Linked DNA regions of Xenopus tropicalis. The main gene of each other region encodes a partner of the protein of the gene in region 2 in a complex. Links are inferred from orthologs where the notes say so. Each region holds a gene or a part of one and is shown on either strand. Other genes may lie near its edges.

Region 1 (3,500 bases), about 22 Mb from region 2:
TGAGTTCCATAAACTGGATAAAATATGGGAGAGCCACATTATCTTGTAGCACCTGATCCAGTGATTTTGAAAGGCTGGACTTTGTCTCTTGGGCCTCATACTTCAGACACGATCGACCTATGTATCAACAAAAAATTACAATGGTCATTGGCTTACAAGTCCTTTATCCTCCCTAATAAACACAACCAAATCCCACATAAGGCATTATGGTACAGCGCCGCTTCATTTAGATGTAACACTAAATTACAATACTTTGTAATGCTCAGTAAGTCCTACTAGCAGAGTACCTTGAGTTATCAAACACACTAAAACCTACTTCATTCATACTTCATCTAATTAATAAGGTCATACAACAAATGAGCTGGTGTGGTAAATCAGACTGATCCAGTCATTAGCACAAAGGCCATATGAATGTATTACACTGGTGCAGACCGGTGAGGTGGTATGACTCCGCCTAATGACTAGTATTATTGGCCTTAAGTTAGTTTTTGCTACCTACAGACCTTTCACAGTTGCTGTCTGGTTTTCAAAGGCTTTTCCAATGGTCCTGTTAAGTACGCCTTGACAAAACAATGACCCCATGTACTCTACCTCTGGCTCTCGCTAATGGCCCCATGCAATTGCTCTCTGGCTCTCACCAACTGCCCCATGTACATGACCTCCGGCTGCTGCAAAAGCCCATGTACTTGTTTGTATATACAAATGTAAGCAAACCAGCACAACTGTTTTAAATGGGGTACTCAGTTGTTAGCATATCTTACCAAGATCTCCAAAATGTGTTGCTTCCATGTGCATCGGGTGCTTCTTGAGGGCTGCAGTTCTGCTACTTGAATAGGAGTCCATGTTAGCTGAGATGGCATTGATAGCCACATAGCTGGGTCCCGCAGCCTCCAACAAAGCATTGTTTTTCGGACTTCTTGAAGGGGAATGTACTGATGCCGGTGCTTGAGCTATTCAAAGAATAATCATCAGAACATATAAATCAACCACCATTACAATCATAAATAAGACTTGTTTTGTTAGTATGTTGGTCCAGTCAGCTGGAGCTCTACAATGCATTATTATTAAAGGGGTTTGGAAATATAAATAGATAGTCATTTAAATAATATTTGCAATTTAGTTTAATTAAAAAAATGAATCATCTTCAAAATAGCTTCCTGCAAAGGTAACGCTACATAGATTCTTAGTGCTAACGCTTAATTCTTTTACCTCTAAATATCTTTACATCTGGCTTATCTTGATCTTTTCCTTTGCCTAGAAAGAAAAAAAATATATTCATTAATATCTGTGATAAAATACTACAAAACCTATTCAGATGTTCAGACCCCACCCCCACCCCCAGTGATGCTAAGAGTACTTTTGTGCTTCTAACAAGGCATCCCCCCCCTCACACAATTAAAATGACCTGGTCTTCACCAAACTGAGCTTGTCAATCCCATATATCCAATCTTGTAGAAGAGGCATTGATGAGTTAAACCTCAATTTACTTTATTTTACAGGTGAACACGGTATATGCAGTGCTTCCATTTATTGCTTGGTTATAAACATTCAGTGAAGCACTCTGACATCTGTCATTCTTTATTCATATCCTAATTACATTCCTTTTATTTATATAGTACTAGCACGTTAGGGAGTGCTTTACAATAATACAAACAGGGAATATCCAAACATAAGAATCAAGACACACAGAGATACTTGTCACAGTCACTAAACACCAAAAAAATACCCTGCCATAGACAATACTGAGAGATGCCTCTTCTAAAATACACATATAGAGACAATTATCAGTAAATAAATGATCAGCATTGTCTATCTTTGTAGCCATGATAAGTAGCTGCTGCTAGTAGCTCCGTGTGTCTTTACCCTTAGGGCTCTGGCACACGGGGAGATAAGTCACCCGTGACAAATCTCCCCGAAATGCCATCTCGGCGGCGAACATGTAAATCGCCGGTGGGATGGCATACGCGGTGCCGCAATTTCCCCGAAATCGCGGGAGTTTCCTCTCAATGGCCGCATATGCCATCCCACCGGAGATTTACATTTTCGCCGGTGGGATGGCATTCTGGGGAGATTTGTCGCGGGGGACTAATCTCCCCGTGTGCCAGAGCCCTTAGGGTGAAGACACACTGAATTACTAGTAGCAGCTCCTTTTTTTACAACTACTAAACTCCACAAAATACTTTGCCATAGATAATATAGAGCAGTGCTGTCCAACTGGCGGCCCGCGGGCCGCATGCGGCCCGCGACCCCCCTCTGTGTGGCCCCCCACCTGTCTGGCTGCTTTGATGGCTTACCTTTGAGTAAGCATTAAATGGTATCAGTTCTGAGATTAACAGCCCCCCCTGCATGGTTCTCACCTCAGATTCAGGCTGTAATCCCTCTGTATTGTTTAAATATGTAATCCCCTGTGTTTTTCACACCTTTTAGTTTCTGCATTGTTCACCCCCTGCAGTGTCCACACCTCAGACTCAGACTGTAATCACTCCCATTGTTCACTTCTTCACACCTCAGACATAGGTACTGTAGGCAGAGTATGGCACATACAGCCAGCATAGGGCAGGCAGAGTATGGCACACACAGGAAGGGTAGGGCAGGCAGAGTATGGCACACACAGTCAGGGTAGGGCAGGCAGAGTATGGCACACACAGGAAGGGTAGGGCAGGCAGAGTATGGCACACACAGTCAGGGTAGGGCAGGCAGAGTATGGCACACAGTGTCAGGGTAGGGCAGGCAGAGTATGGCACACACAGTCAGGGTAGGGCAGGCAGAGTATGGCACACACAGTCAGGGTAGGGCAGGCAGAGTATGGCACACACAGGAAGGGTAGGGGAGGCAGAGTATGGCACACACAGTCAGGGTAGGGCAGGCAGAGTATGGCACACACAGGCAGGGTAGGGCAGGCAGAGTATGGCACACAGAGGCAGCATAGGGAAGGCAGAGTATGGCACACACAGGCAGGGTAGGGCAGGCAGAGTATGGCACACAGAGGCAGCATAGGGAAGGCAGAGTATGGCACACACAGGCAGGGTAGGGCAGGCAGAGTATGGCACACACAGACAGCATAGGACAGGCAGAGAGTGCTGCCTGTGTGTGCCATACTCTGCTTGCCCTATGCTGCTTGTGGGAGGTAAACCTGGCAGGGGTTTGTTGTGGGAGTTTGTTAGCAGTTGGAAATAGCCATTAAATGGTCCCAAAGGTGTGTAATTATGTACTGGGGGTTGCTCTGCTATCCACAGGGGAGCAGGAGGCATATGGAATTTAAGGGTATATCTTAATATGACATAATTCTTTCACATATGAATGATGGTTGATCTCCCCACAGTAAGGACCAAGCATTTGGGATTTTGCTGTGCTACCACCATTGTGATAAAATAGGTGTGGTTTGAAGTGGGTGTGGTTTCAAAAAGGGGAGTGGTCAAAACTGGCTTCCATTAGCGGCCCTCCACCATGTATGCTAGAGAAATTCCGGCCCTCGGCACCGTAGAAGTTGGACAGCACTG
Region 2 (3,500 bases):
GGACCTTTACACTCAGTCAAAGACTCTCCAACTCAGGTACACACTCCCACACAGTCAAACCCAGCCACACTTTATTGGCACATTCAGCCACACCTAGTCACCAAGGGTCATTTACGACTGCAAGCCCAGTGTGCAAAGTGCAATGTCAGATGCAATGTGCCAATTTGTTACCCAAATTAGTTTATATTGAGCTCCACTGTACAGTCACCACAGTGTCAGACTGGCCCACCAGGATACCAGGAAAACTCCCGATGGGCCTAGGTGTTAGTGGGCCCTCTTGCTTCTAACAGTTTGGCCAGTTGCATGGTCATTCCCTATTTCTAAATGGGAACAAAGGGGAGAAATTGATGGAAGAATAGATGCTAGCATGTATATAAAATAAACTATGAGAATAAAGAGGTTGGTTGAGGAAAGGGAGGAAAAATAGTTTGGAGAGTGGGCCTATAGTCTAAGGTTTTCTGGTGGGTCCCTGGGGTCCCAGTCCGACACCGAGTCACCACCATTTTTCTTTTTTTCCATCTTCTTTTATCCCCCTCATACCAACCTCTCGTTCAATGAGAGCCATTAGGGAAGCATTTCATGCTGGGAATTGCAGCCCCTTGTTGTGGATGTGCCATTAAATAAGACACTTAGAAGTTCAGGTGCTTCTTTGAAAACTGGGACCCCCCTAGTGACATTTTGTTTGCATCACCTACAGCAGTGCTGTCCAACTTCTACGGTGCCGAGGGCCGGAATTTCTCTAGCATACATGGTGGAGGGCCGCTAATGGAAGCCAGTTTTGACCACTCCCATTTTTGAAACCACACCCACTTCAAACCACACCTATTTTATCACAATGGTGGTAGCACAGCAAAATCCCAAATGATTGGTCCTTACTGTGGGGATATCAACCATCATTCATATGTGAAAGAATTATGTAATATTAAGATATACCCTTAAATTCCATATGCCTCCTCCTCCTCCCCTGTGGATAGCAGAGCAACCCCCAGTACATAATTACACACCTTAGGGACCATTTAATGGCTATTTCCAACTGCTAACAAACTCCCACAACAAACCCCTGCCAGGTTCACCTCCCACAAGCAGCATAGGGTAGGCAGAGTATGGCACACACAGGCAGCACTCTGCCTGTCCTATGCTGTCTGTGTGTGCCATACTCTGCCTGTCCTACTCTGCCTGTGTGTGCCATACTCTGCCTTCCCTATGCTGCCTCTGTGTGCCATACTCTGCCTTCCCTATGCTGCCTCTGTGTGTCATACTCTGCCTGCCCTACCCTGACTGTGTGTGCCATACTCTGCCTGCCCTACCCTGACTGTGTGTGCCATACTCTGCCTGCCCTACCCTGACTGTGTGTGCCATACTCTGCCTTCCCTAACCTGCCTGTGTGTGCCATACTCTGCCTGCCCTATGCTGCCTCTGTGTGCCATACTCTGCCTGCCCTACCCTTCCTGTGTGTGCCATACCCTCCCTGACCTATGCTGCCTGTGTGTGCCATACTCTACCTGCCCTATGCTGGCTGTATGTGCCATACTCTGCCTACAGTACCTATGTCTGAGGTGTGAAGAAGTGAACAATGGGAGTGATTACAGCCTGAGCCTGAGGTGTGAACACTGCAGGGGGGGAACAATGCAGAGATTAAAAGGTGTGAAAAACACAGGGGATTACATATTTAAACAATACAGAGGGATTACAGCCTGAATCTGAGGTGAGAACCATGCAGGGGGTCAGTTAATCACAGTACTGATACCATTTAATGCTTACTCAAAGGTAAGCCATCATAGCAGCCAGACAGGTGGGGGGCCACACAGAGGGGGCCGCCAGTTGGACAGCACTGACCTACAGTATCTCTTGCCCCTAAGCTTCCCAATGGATTCACTTGGACAAGTGTGGTAGCATTAAGGGAAATAGCCTTCCATTACATCTCCAATAATAGCAATGTTAGAAGTACCTTCTCAGACATAATTCCTACTCACCACTTCTGCTGGCTCAGGAGCAGCTCTTGCCTTGCTTGCTGTGCTTGCCGGGGCAGCCGCACTGGAGCTGGGAGAAACCTCACTTACTGGATCTGCCAAGGAGGCAGTTATTGGGATCTTCTGCCCCTTGAAGTAGTCATAGGCTTCCTGTGATGCCACCAACAAAGTCAGGATCCCCTTTGTTTCCTTGATTTTAATCAAGACGTCTTCATAGCTCTCCTTCTCCATATTTACTCCATTGACCTCCACCAGAACATCGTCATTTTTTATCCCAGCCACATCTGCCGAACCTCCCTTTAGTACCTGTCAATGGACCGGATGTTAGTACTGACACAAGTTCTTGTTCTAACTACTCAACATAAATAGAATTGCTTAGTCCTTCAGTTGGTTGACTAGATGGCAGGGGGTTTGCACCATGTAACTATGTTGCTTGTATTTTATGGACTATAGCTCTAGTCACAATGGGCACCATACCTGGTTCATGAACAGGCCCGGGGTATCCTTGATGGCATTGAGGTGGAAGCCATACCCATTGTTACCCTTCTGCAGCTTACACAGCCTGGGCTTGTGCTTTTGGCCGCCAGTCGGAGCAGCCGGTGTTTCAGGTTTTTTCGGCTCCACGGCAGAAGGTTGGGCTGGGGCGACAGTTGGTGTCGGAGTCTGCGATGGAACTACTGCCGGAGCTGGAGTGGCCTCTTCTTTAGAGCTGCTCTTAATTTCCCCTTGGGTTTCTTGTAAATATAAATAGGGTGAGACACCGGCCTGAAAGTGCAAATATAGTGATTAGGAGACACCCTCAGAAGGGGGTTTTGGTGGCTTCAGTGAGATCTCACATTATAGTCTAGGCAGGAATTATGGGCCATAAAGGAATATTATAGATCTCCTGTAGTTCTCTCATAATGAGAAGACCTTTGCTCAAATGGGGTGTTAACTTTTGTATGTTATAGAATGGCCAATCCTGAACAACTTTTCTATTAGTCTTTATTATTTACAGTTTTTTAATTATTATCCTTCTTCTGCCTCTTTCCAGCTTTCAAATGGGGGTCACTGACCCCGGCAGCCAAAACCTATTGCTCTGTGAGGCTCCAATTTAATTGTTATTGTTACTTTTTATACCTTATTGTTCAACTTCGACCCTCTCCTGTTCATATATCAGTCTCTCATTCAAACCACTCCCTGGTTGCTAAGGTAATTTGGTTCCTTGCAACCAGATAGCTGCATAAACTTCAAACTAGAGAGATGCTGAACAAAAAGTGAAGTAACTAAAAATACTACAAATAATAAAAAATGAAGACCGATTGAAAATCAAGCAATAGGCTTCATAAACCTTGGGAGCTACAGAGAATATCTACAAAATACAAGTAGACATTAGAAAGGTTTGGGGGTGCAGGACACAGGGCACCCTGTTGGCAGTTGGTTCCTCACCAGGGAATACATTTCATCAGTCTTTTTATCCGCAATCAGCAAAGTGGTCTTGTCTCCTCCTTTCTGAATCACCTTCACCACCTCCTCGTGATCCTTCGCCTC
Region 3 (3,500 bases), on a different chromosome or scaffold from region 2:
GTAAGCATGGGTGTGTTCATGGGTAAGCATGGGTGTATCCATTAGAAAGCATGGGTGTGTTCATGGGTAAGCATGGGTGTATCCATTAGAAAGCATGGGTGTGTTTATGGGTAAGCATGGGTGTATCCATTAGAAAGCATGGGTGTGTTTATGGGTAAGCATGGGTGTATCCATTAGAAAGCATGGGTGTGTTCATGGGTAAGCATGGGTGTATCTATTAGAAAGCATGGGTGTGTTCATGGGTAAGCATGGGTGTATCCATTAGAAAGCATGGGTGTCATGGGTTGGGTGTGTTCATGGGTAAGCATGGGTTATCTATTGAAAAGCATGGTGTGTATCATGGGTAAGAAAGCATGGATGTGTATGGGTGGGTGTATATTGGGTAAGCATGGGTGTATCTATTAGAAAGCATGGTGTGTTATGGTAAGCATGGGTTTGTATCTATTTAGAAAGCATGGGTGTGTCATTGGGTATGGGTAAGCATGGGTGTATCTATTAGAAAGCATGGGTGTGTTTATGGGTAAGCATGGGTGTATCTATTAGAAAGCATGGGTGTGTTCATGGGTAAGCATGGGTGTATCTATTAGAAAGCATGGGTGTGTTTATGGGTAAGCATGGGTGTATCTATTAGAAAGCATGGGTGTGTTTATGGGTAAGCATGGGTGTGTTCATGGGTAAGCATGGGTGTATCTATTGGAAAGCATGGGTGTATCTAAGCATGGGTGTGTTTATGGGTAAGCATGGTGTGTCATGGGTAAGCATGGGTATCTATTAGAAAGCATGGGTAAGTGTTTTTATGGGTAAGCATGGGTGTACCATTAGAAAGCATGGTGTGTTCATGGGTAGCATGCATGGCATATCATGGGTGATCCATTAGAGAGCATGTGGTGTGTTTATGGTAAGCATGGGTGTATCCATCCATTAGAGAGCATGGGTGTGTTTACGGGTAAGCATGGGTGTGTTTACGGGTAAGCATGGGTGTGTTTATGGGTAAGCATGGGTGTGTTCATGGGTAACACATGGGTGTATCCATTAGAGAGCATGGGTGTGTTTACGGGTAAGCATGGGTGTGTTTATGGGTAAGCATGGGTGTATCCATTAGAGAGCATGGGTGTGTTCATAAGTAAGTATGGGTGTGTTCATGGGTAAGCATGGGTGTATCCATTAGAGAGCATGGGTGTGTTCATAAGTAAGTATGGGTGTGTTCATGGGTAAGCATGGGTGTATCCGTATGGTTACTATTCAAGAGCATCACTGATTGGTCGGTGGGTAGGCTTCAGCGAGTCTATGGGTAGTTATGTGTCTTTACATGGGCATCGGTGGGTGTGAATTAGCCAGTGCCAGCTGGAAACCAGTATATTTAGGGCACATCATTGTTGTGGGCAGCTATGCCAGGGCTCATATTTACCCAGCGTCTGTTCCCCACATGCAGGAAACTCTGCCCCCGGTGCCCAAAGCCCAGGTGAGTTACCTGCAGGTTCTAAATCTCGCTGGTGGTGACGTTGATGTCGACATCCCAGGGTTTGAGATCATCAAACAGCCCAGCCTGTACGGTGCCAATGCGTTGGTAAGTACCGCCCCCTGCTGGGCAAATGCCCGACCCTTGGGGTTCTGGGTGCATAGGGCATAGGGCAGATATTACTGCTTTGCACATCAGTTAGACTGCAGGCCGGGACTGACACATAACGTTTCCCTCCTGTTGTCTCCGCACAGGATCCAGACTACGTGAAACTGGAACTCACCACCGCACACAATAACTTTGATGCCAAACTGACAGTCGGAGCAGTAACCGCAGACTGCCCCATCCACATCCAAGAGAAAAGCAGCTACAGCCTCCTTGTCTACGGCGACAACCTGAACTGCGATCTGGTCAGTAGGGGGGATACCCCACTGTATCTACTATGGGTCGGCGGTGCCAGTACCAACTACTACTGTCATTTCCTCCCTTCCAATAAGCAGTGAAACAGCAAAGGCTTCGCCCGACTGTAACCGTTATCCCCCCTACTACTACCTGCTCTGTTACCTTCACATTCATTGGCCACTTTCCCTGTGGCTACAAAGTCTCTCTCTAGAAAAGAACCTTTATCATTTTATTTTATTTTTAGATTGAAGAATCCCAAACCAAACCAGCAAATGGCCTGGCAGCGGTCAGGTGAGACTCCTTTAATTACAACATGGGGACAGTAGGACAAGATGGAGACAGTAGGGCAAGATGGGGACAGTAGGGCAAGATGGAGACAGTAGGGCAAGATGGGGACAGTAGGACAAGATGGAGACAGTAGGGGGCAAGATGGGGACAGTAGGGCAAGATGGAGACAGTAGGGCAAGATGGGGACAGTAGGGCAAGATGGAGACAGTAGGGCAAGATGGAGACAGTAGGGCAAGATGGAGACAGTAGGGCAAGATGGAGACAGTAGGGCAAGATGGAGACAGTAGGGCAAGATGGAGACAGTAGGGCAAGATGGAGACAGTAGGGCAAGATGGAGACAGTAGGGCAAGATGGGGACAGTAGGACAAGATGGAGACAGTAGGACAAGATGGAGACAGTAGGGCAAGATGGAGGACAGTAGGGCAAGATGGAGACAGTAGGACAAGATGGAGACAGTAGGGCAAGATGGAGACAGTAGGGCAAGATGGAGACAGTAGGGCAAGATGGAGACAGTAGGGCAAGATGGAGGACAGTGGGTACAAGATGGGACAGTAGGGCAAGATGGAGACAGTAGGCAAGATGGGGACAGTAGGGCAAGATGGAGACAGTAGGGCAAGATGGAGACAGTAGGCAAGATGGGGACAGTAGGGACAAGATGGGGACAGTAGGGCAAGATGGAGACAGTAGGCAAGATGCAGGGGACAGTAGGACAAGATGGGGACAGTAGGGCAAGATGGAGACAGTAAGGGGGACAAGTGGAGACGAGTAGGGCAAGATGGGACAGTAGACAAGATGGGGACAGTAGGCAAGATGGAGACAGTAGGGCAAATGGGGACAGTAGGGCAAAGCAGGAGACAGGTAGGGCAAGATGGGACAGTAGCAAGATGGAGACAGTAGGGCAAGATGAAGGGGACAGTAGGGCAAATGGAGTATAGTAGGCAGATGAGACAGTAGGACAAGATGGAGACGTTAGGCACAGATGGAGACAGTAGGGCAAGATAGGGACAGTAGTAGGGCAAGATGGGCGACAGACCAGATGGGAGTAGGGCAAGATGAGACAGTAGGGCAAGATGGAGACGTAGGCAAGTAGAGACAGTAGGGCAAGATGGAGACAGGTAGGCAAGTGAGACAGTAGGCAAGATGAGACAGTAGCGCAAGATGGAGACAGTAGGGCAAGATGGGCGACAGTAGGATGAGACAGTAGGGCATGGAGACAGTAGGGCCAAGAGGGAGACAGTAGGCAAGATGGGACAGTAGGCAAGATGGGACAGTAGGACAACGATTGGGGACAGTAGGGCAAGATTGAGACAGTAGGGCAAGATGGGGACAAGTAGGACAAGGATGGGGGCCA

Evidence for each region. Proteins that work in one complex are often made in the same cells at the same time.
Region 1: the proteins of pdzk1 (region 2) and akap10 are in contact, whole or in part, in a crystal structure (PDB 3TMH), measured with the Homo sapiens proteins. The link is inferred for Xenopus tropicalis from reciprocal best matches to the Homo sapiens genes PDZK1 and AKAP10. Residues at the interface, in NP_001188254.1 of Homo sapiens: Asn386, Gly387, Tyr388, Gly389, Phe390, His391, Leu392, Asn393, Ala394, Ile395, Arg396, Phe402, Lys404, Tyr436, Glu437, Val440, Ile443, Gln444; in NP_009133.2 of Homo sapiens: Pro655, Leu656, Glu657, Lys658, Ser659, Thr660, Lys661, Leu662.
Region 3: the proteins of pdzk1 (region 2) and slc15a2 are in contact, whole or in part, in a crystal structure (PDB 6EZI), measured with the Homo sapiens proteins. The link is inferred for Xenopus tropicalis from reciprocal best matches to the Homo sapiens genes PDZK1 and SLC15A2. Residues at the interface, in NP_001188254.1 of Homo sapiens: Asn386, Gly387, Tyr388, Gly389, Phe390, His391, Leu392, Asn393, Ala394, Ile395, Arg396, Gln407, Tyr436, Glu437, Val440, Ile443, Gln444; in NP_066568.3 of Homo sapiens: Glu723, Thr724, Lys725, Lys726, Thr727, Lys728, Leu729.

The regions. Positions count from the first base shown.
Region 1 is NC_030678.2:30,346,033-30,349,532, forward strand, and holds part of akap10 (A-kinase anchor protein 10, mitochondrial), read right to left. Parts: intron 1,255-3,500; coding exon 1,210-1,254; intron 951-1,209; coding exon 762-950; intron 118-761; coding exon 1-117. UniProt on the Homo sapiens protein: Differentially targeted protein that binds to type I and II regulatory subunits of protein kinase A and anchors them to the mitochondria or the plasma membrane.
Region 2 is NC_030678.2:8,070,598-8,074,097, reverse strand, and holds part of pdzk1 (Na(+)/H(+) exchange regulatory cofactor NHE-RF3), read right to left. Parts: coding exon 3,399-3,500; intron 2,736-3,398; coding exon 2,448-2,735; intron 2,277-2,447; coding exon 1,974-2,276; intron 1-1,973. UniProt on the Homo sapiens protein: A scaffold protein that connects plasma membrane proteins and regulatory components, regulating their surface expression in epithelial cells apical domains.
Region 3 is NC_030685.2:88,685,674-88,689,173, forward strand, and holds part of slc15a2 (solute carrier family 15 member 2), read left to right. Parts: intron 1-1,432; coding exon 1,433-1,567; intron 1,568-1,713; coding exon 1,714-1,869; intron 1,870-2,105; coding exon 2,106-2,152; intron 2,153-3,500. UniProt on the Homo sapiens protein: Proton-coupled amino-acid transporter that transports oligopeptides of 2 to 4 amino acids with a preference for dipeptides. Transports neutral and anionic dipeptides with a proton to peptide stoichiometry of 2:1 or 3:1.